Schizosaccharomyces pombe: one gene and its partner. The gene in region 2 interacts genetically with the main gene of each other region. Each region holds a gene or a part of one and is shown on either strand. Other genes may lie near its edges.

Region 1 (3,548 bases), 1.9 Mb from region 2:
CACGGATGGTGAATTTATTAATCCGTTAGAAAATATTCATTCTCAAAACAGTCTATTCAATTGGGTTAAACCATACATCCCTCCGACTATTCTCTTAAAAAATGAAAACAATTTTGTTTCTAAATGGGCCAACGTCTCTGTGCGTCAATCAGACTTTGACGCCCCTTCGTACTTCCAAGGAACTCCAGTTTCAAACCTATATTTGTGTCTGAAATGCATAAACAGCTAGGAATAACGCTGTTTTGTGATTTTTTATTTACGCATGTGTATAGACTTGCGGTCATATATGCTTTTTACTATTTAAAAAATATTTGTGCTGCGTGATTTCAAAGCCTATAGATGTTTATCCATTCAATACTTAATAAAAGTATATTTGGATAATTCAGCTTTCTCTTGTAATTATACTTTTAATCGAGGGCTATATTATAACGTGGATTCGTCAATAGGCTTATAATAAGCTGAATGTATCTACCTATTTATATTAAAGAAAAGCGTGGTATTGACCATTCTAAAAATTATACCCTTTATGACCCTTATAAGCTTTTCTCCTTATGATGTTGCATCCTTTTTTCTTTTTTTTCATTTTAAGATATCGATTTCCACCCGATTTATATATATTTGCTAACAAAAATCCTACTTTTTAGAATACTAGTTGAAAAATGTATAACTTATTCAATTTACAACTTAGACTAAAAAAATCCTAGCTTGACGAATAAACCATAGAAAAAAACCCAGAACCCTAAACATTTATAAAAAAGGAATAAAGCAAATATAACGTTAAAAATTAGAAATGCTTATACATACTTCGAGTTCATAGTTTAAGCAAATTCACTACCATCAGGTGCTTCATCCTGTCCAGTAAGAAGTGTATAAGTAGGAGCCATAAGACGCTTACGTCCTTGAAGAAATGTAAGTTCTAAAAGGAAGAGATGTCCAACTAATTCACCACCCAAACGAGTAACGAGTTCATCAGCAGCCAAGGCGGTGCCACCAGTAGCAAGAATGTCGTCAACTATTAAGACTCTTTGACCGGGTTTAATAGTACCCTTTTGGATTGCAAAAGAATCAGTAGAATATTCCTTATTGTAGCTTACGACGACCAAATCACCGGGAAGCTTGTTGGGCTTACGGACAGGGACAAATGCACAATTTGCACGTAAAGCCAACGTAGGTCCAAAAAGAAATCCACGCGCCTCCAAACCAACAATCACATCAATGTTATTGAATTCAGTTTCAACGGCTTCAAGCAAAAGATCGATAAGGATGCCAAAGGCTCTGGGATCTTGAAAAATGGGCATTATCTAATAACATTAGCATCTTATTGTTTATAATTTAACAGAGTATTTAAGCAATTGCAAGGCGTAAAGATAATATAACCTCTCGAATTGTATTTTGGATTCAAACTTCACGCTAATTGAGCAAAATAATATCACCGTTCCTATCCAACCTCGCGCATTTCCTCCTTCTATAAAATCTTACATCTTCAAACAAGATTCCCTTTTTGGGAAAATCTGGATATTGAACAAGTTTATTCTTAAGGTAATTGATTCTATCGTCGGACATTTTAGTAAATTGCTATGTAAAAACTTCTACAAAAAAAAATAAATACTCAATTTCCGTTACCGTCTATGCAGCGAAAATTTTGGACTGCTGTTTTCAAGTAACATGTTACCATCCGTTTAATGTAAAAAACGTCAGTCATAATTCACCTATTAATACTAAGTAGTGTACCGGGTTAACTTTGGCAGCTAAGACGAGCTCTAAAAGAAACGTTTATGTTTGAAATTCGACGCTCTTTTCCATTCCTTTCTTCGTGAAAACTGTCAGCCACAACTCCATGTTTTGAGGTATTCCTTCTTTAGTTTGATATACACTTCAAGCAATTTCAGTCATATCCGTTGTTCATCATTAAACAAACTTCGGTCAAGATTATTAGCCGTTTTTTGCTATTACATTCAGTAGAAAGCTTATTTTTTAATTTGTTTAAGCCAGTTATACTGATACACTTGGTATTAATTCAATTCAGAAAAAAATTTCAACGGCAAACATCGATACACATTTTTCTAAGAACCAAGCTTCTTTTTCAGGAATTTTGAATCAATCATTTGACCATTGATTTGCAATCTAAATTTTAGCAGTGGGTTTGTTCGAATACTGCAGCTATACCTATAAATTACCCATTTACTAGCTTCATGGATTAGAAAAATAAGTTTTGTTGTTTCATTTGTGCTTTTTGTTTTTCTATTCTGTTCTGCTCATTTCTTGTTATTTGAAAGCAAATCTTTCTAAAAAGCTTTATTGACACTTTTATGGTGGTATACCATTTATATAATCTAGTAAGTAAAGCAAAAACCAAAATCTTACGCCTCTACATTACTCGTTTAGTCTGCTCCTAAGTAAAAATAGGCACTCCAAAAATCGCTCCTTCTCTCCGTTCCCTTTTTTAATTTACGTTGACATAATTAAGTCAATAATGTTTGCAAGACATCCGAATTTATTATGGTTGAACAAACAACTGTCTATTTTACATTATCTTTGCCTAGTTTTTTTAGCTGTCTACTATGCCTATCCTCTACTATTTGGCATAATGCCAAGAAAGCTGCAACTCGAAGATGAAAATTCTTTTGTTATTATGGGGGTTGCTGATCCTCAGATTGAAGGGAATCATAAAATCGAAGCAAATGGATTTTTTAAAGGCACTTTAGATCTTTGGGGGAATGATTTGTTTTTACGACACCTTGTACATATGAATCAGTTTTGGGGTCAACCAGATGCGATGATTCTGTTGGGTGACTTGGTCAGTTTTCAGCACTTGGATAACGAAGAATTCAACAAAAGAGCTAAAAGACTGAAAAAAATCACTGGGGCAAAAAACTTTTGGCAAGTAGGAAACTCCAGTTTACCAGCACGTACTTTTGAAAACGGTAACATTCCCGTTTGGACGATTGCGGGTAATCATGACATTGGCTATGGCTGCGAAAGTTCAGACGCACAAATTAGCAAATGGGAACAAGCTATGGGCCCGGTAAATTGGGTTTCGCACTTCAATGTTTCTAAATTTCCTGTCCGTGTGATCGGCATAAATAGCCTTTCGCTTGATGATGTTCAGTTTTACGATGCGAACCCTAGCGATATTATTAACAGTAAAAGTTTTTCATCATTAGGTATACTTGCTCTTTCAAAAGAAGCTAGGGATGCTTGGCAATTTCTTTTCGACATTGCTTTAGAGCCGTCTATTCCAACCATACTGTTCACCCATGTGCCACTCTACAAACCAGCTAATGTGTGTGTTGACGAACCGAGAATCGTTCGTCAATTGGATTTTCGGGTCAAGTCTCAAAATCATTTATCGTATAATACTACTATGAAAATTTTTGAATTGATTCCTAGCATCAAATTGGTCCTTTCTGGCCATGATCATATGGGTTGTGACTACGAACACCCGAACGGTGCCATCGAACATACATTACCCAGCGCAATGGGGTACTTTGGAGGAAATATTGGTTTTGTCAAACTGATCGCGACAAATGATGTTCTTACAGAGTCCT
Region 2 (3,691 bases):
CACTAATCGCGTTTACCACAAAAGGAACTAACAAAGACTACCTTTTGAAATTTTCTTTCAATTCGGTGTTAAGAATAAACGCACAAATTAGTCAAAATAGTTAGAAGATCAAATTTTGCGATCGAAAATATTTATCTGATAATAATTGATATCGTAAAAGTGACTATTATTATTCGTAATCAGATACAACGAATTACAGAGTATCGCAGTAATAAACGAGTTAATTATAAGCAATATGCACACATATTTGGATCGTCCTTTCTATGATTTTTTGGGTAATGAGTGAGCGACAAGATCGTACTTGGTAATTTGATTGATATTTCGTCGAATAGGTTCTACCGCTTTACCAAAAGTAATTAGTTAATAAAGCTAATACTTGGTATCAATTTTTGGGTAAACTTCTATAGGTAAAAAAAAAATGATTTACGTTGATTAAATGTGCCACGTTCCACTTTTAAAAGCCGAAAACGTTTGAAATTGCATATTTATATTATTTTTAATAGCTCAATATTCCATTCATACGCTTGCTTTATGCAACGCCAATCATTGTTTATTGAAAGATACCATCATTTCTTGTAGCTCACAGAAACTTGGCCGAACGGCTGTTTAGAAGTAAATAAATAAGGAATTGAAAATGATCCTAGATGTTTCAACTATTTTTAGCTATTACTGGGTTTGCTTAATAATTTGATTAAACGCCATAAAATATATTAAAAAGGTCTTTCTATTTGTTGTTTATAGCAGTGGTTTGTTCTCAAAACTTACAATGTTTTATGATCTTCGTTCATAAACGAGCATTCTCTCTCCCCAGATTTCGCTAGTAATAAGCTAAATATATCAAGTAATTTTAATATTATGAGTGAATGCATACAAAAAAGAAATGCTTCGAAAATAAAACTCTTTCTAAAAGGAAAATCTAGTGATGTTGAAGAGCTTTTCATAATTATACTGTCAACATAGCAGCATTGTTAATGTTTTGAATGAAAGCCTGATGTCAGAGGGTTTTCTTTTAAAAAAATTTTTATATATATATATATATATATACATGATTATTAATAAAACAAAAAGAATAAGAACATTCTCAATCATCCTGTTCATTATATTTCCTTCTTTTCATTCTCAAATGACAAATAAATAGTTCATTTATCAATAACTCATGGTCTCCACCATATCTAAAAATCACCAGTTAGTGTAAGATTGAAGTAAGCATGTGTCTCGATATTTACTACGTATGCTGCGTTATCTACTTTTTGGCTGGTTACAAGTGATTAGATATTTACAAATTCGCTGCACTATCTACTTGTACAATCCCCCTTGTACCGTTTTTTAGGTAATGCGTCTAATCCTTCCCAGAACTACGAGGCTTCGGATGAGACACCTATGTGATGACTGACTGCATCGGTTCTTCAAACGGCACTGAATAATCCAAAACCTTTCTTGTTACGAGTACATTTGAGTAATGTACCGCAGTTAATTGCCCAGGCAAAAATTGAGCTATATTAATTTTGCTATAATTATACAAAAAGTAAACAGTAAAATTGAAACCTAAAGCATTATATACATATAATAAATCTTATCAGACATGCTAGCTGATATACCTTTTAATATATTTTTAACAACGAAATGATGGGTTTTGAAAAGTATTAAACATCTAGAAAATCAATATAAAGAACATTTACATATGTAATGGCCTTCATAGATAACTGAAATCGTTTTAAACATCATATTCTTTGCTAGACACCGTCTGGTCGGTGTTAGAATATCCCTAACTAACCACCATAGAGGGTAGGGTTAGTGACTTTTTCCTATCAGTAATTTAACGAGATTACCTTAAGGAACGCTTAAATTGTCAAAAGTACATAAATATCAAAAGAACGTATTTCCCCCGTTCACGTTTACACCTTTATCGTTCCCTTCATTTTTTGGTTGTTTCATTTTGTTCTTAAGTTATTATGGATCCCGTTCGTCTTTATTACAGCTACAATGACATTCATAAGATGTGTGCTCAACAGGCAGAAAAAATTTTGGAAACCTTTCGTCCTGATGTGATTATAGCCATTGGAGGTGGTGGATTCATTCCGGCTAGGTAAGTTGAACAAATAAAGAAGATAACAGGAAGAAGCGCTTCCTATAACGGCCTACTGCGTTAAAATTTGAATGGCAGCATCTTTGTGATTTCACAAATGATTGATTTTAACAATGCTTATCCACGATAAGGATTTTAAGGCTTTTATGTATGATCTTTTCAAAAGGACGCATCGTTTACCTGCATTTTCAATTGAGCCCAAGAATCCATCGTGGTGCATTCAAATTCCTTGCTCTTCTTATCTTCATATGGTTAACATTTGCTAATATAACAGAATCCTTCGTACTTTCCTTAAGAAAAAAGGAAGCAAAAATATTCCCATTCAAGCCATTGGTCTCAGCCTGTATGAAGAGCTTGTTTCTGATTCCCCTGAAGAAGTTCCTGGGCTTGAAGTTAAGCGAACTCAATGGCTTGATTTTAGTACTCTTGGAATGGTTGATCTCGTTGGCAAGAACATTCTAATTGTTGACGAGGTAGATGATACTCGTACCACTCTCCATTATGCTCTTCGCGAGCTTCAAAGAGATGTTGCCGAGCAAGCTAAGAAGCTTAACCGTGAAGGAGAGAAGACCACATTTGGTATTTTTGTTGTCCATAATAAGGTTAAACCAAAAAATGCTCAATTGGATAAGGAGATTTTGGATAAATATTACTTTACTGGTTGCAATACTCCCGACTGCTGGATCATGTATCCTTGGGAAGCTCAAGACATTGAGGAGCATGACAGTCATGTTGCAAAAATGGGGGATTTGAAGCCATAGATTGGAGTCTCGTGTTTTGTAAACTATAGTGAGCTTTTCGAATTTACTCTTAATTATTAATTCGCAAACTATCTATTTGATCCACACGCCTTCACCTCTTTCCTAAAGCCCACTTTTTTTTTTGTCGACATGCATATACATATATAGATTTGATAAATTTTGCGAATAACCTTTATAAATACTCTTGGTAACAATAGAAATGAAATAGCTTGACAATTTGATATGGGTAAGAATTTAAGTTGAATAATTGATGGAGTGAAGCATTAGGATAAATGTATGCAAGATTAAAGTTAATGAGACTGGTCATTGTTTAACGAAAACTTCACTGTTCTATCAATCGATGTATATCTTACTAATTAAATTAACATAGACAGTGTAGTCCATATTATGATGGCCGATTAAAATAGTTATATGTAAAGATCAGCAGTATGGAGGCAGGTGTGAAATGCTAACAAAACAGTGCAAATCGAAAAAATGTGGGCTAACGATTATTTGATGATTTAATTATGATTTAGTTTCACGGTCTATGATTGAGCGGCTCCACCTTGGGAAGGATGCATTGAAGAATCAAATATTTGAGTAATTCCAATCCTTCTTTCACGAATAATTTTCTTCTTTTCAGGCGATAAACGTGTTGACTCTTCGTTTTTCTGCAATGCTTCTTCTGTTGTTGACTCGGAATCAAGCGTTTGTCTTAGCTTTTCTTCGTCATATGCAAGAACATCTTCAGCAGTAATTTGTATTGCCGTAGGATTTCTTCGTAACATGTTGGAGATACTAACAAACGTAGTACACAAATGTGGTCTGTTATTAAATTTATATTCAGCTTGATTGAATTTTATTT

What was found.
Region 1: of hpt1 (region 2) and apt1, changing one enhances a phenotype caused by changing the other (phenotypic enhancement), as found in Schizosaccharomyces pombe (one study listed by BioGRID).

Annotation. Positions count from the first base shown.
Region 1 is NC_003424.3:4,081,701-4,085,248, reverse strand, and holds apt1 (adenine phosphoribosyltransferase), read right to left. Parts: upstream 1,594-3,548; 5' UTR 1,564-1,593; coding exon 1,480-1,563; intron 1,440-1,479; exon of another isoform or gene 1,302-1,439; coding exon 819-1,301; 3' UTR 653-818; downstream 1-652. Other genes in the region: alpha mannosidase Mnl1, read left to right, coding at 1-229; ted1 (phosphoprotein phosphatase), read left to right, coding at 2,474-3,548.
Region 2 is NC_003424.3:2,154,718-2,158,408, reverse strand, and holds hpt1 (xanthine phosphoribosyltransferase), read left to right. Parts: upstream 1-1,891; 5' UTR 1,892-1,952; coding exon 1,953-2,086; intron 2,087-2,360; coding exon 2,361-2,847; 3' UTR 2,848-3,035; downstream 3,036-3,691. Other genes in the region: hcn1 (anaphase-promoting complex TPR lobe accessory factor subunit Hcn1/Apc12), read right to left, coding at 3,372-3,614. UniProt on the Schizosaccharomyces pombe protein: Converts guanine to guanosine monophosphate, and hypoxanthine to inosine monophosphate. Transfers the 5-phosphoribosyl group from 5-phosphoribosylpyrophosphate onto the purine.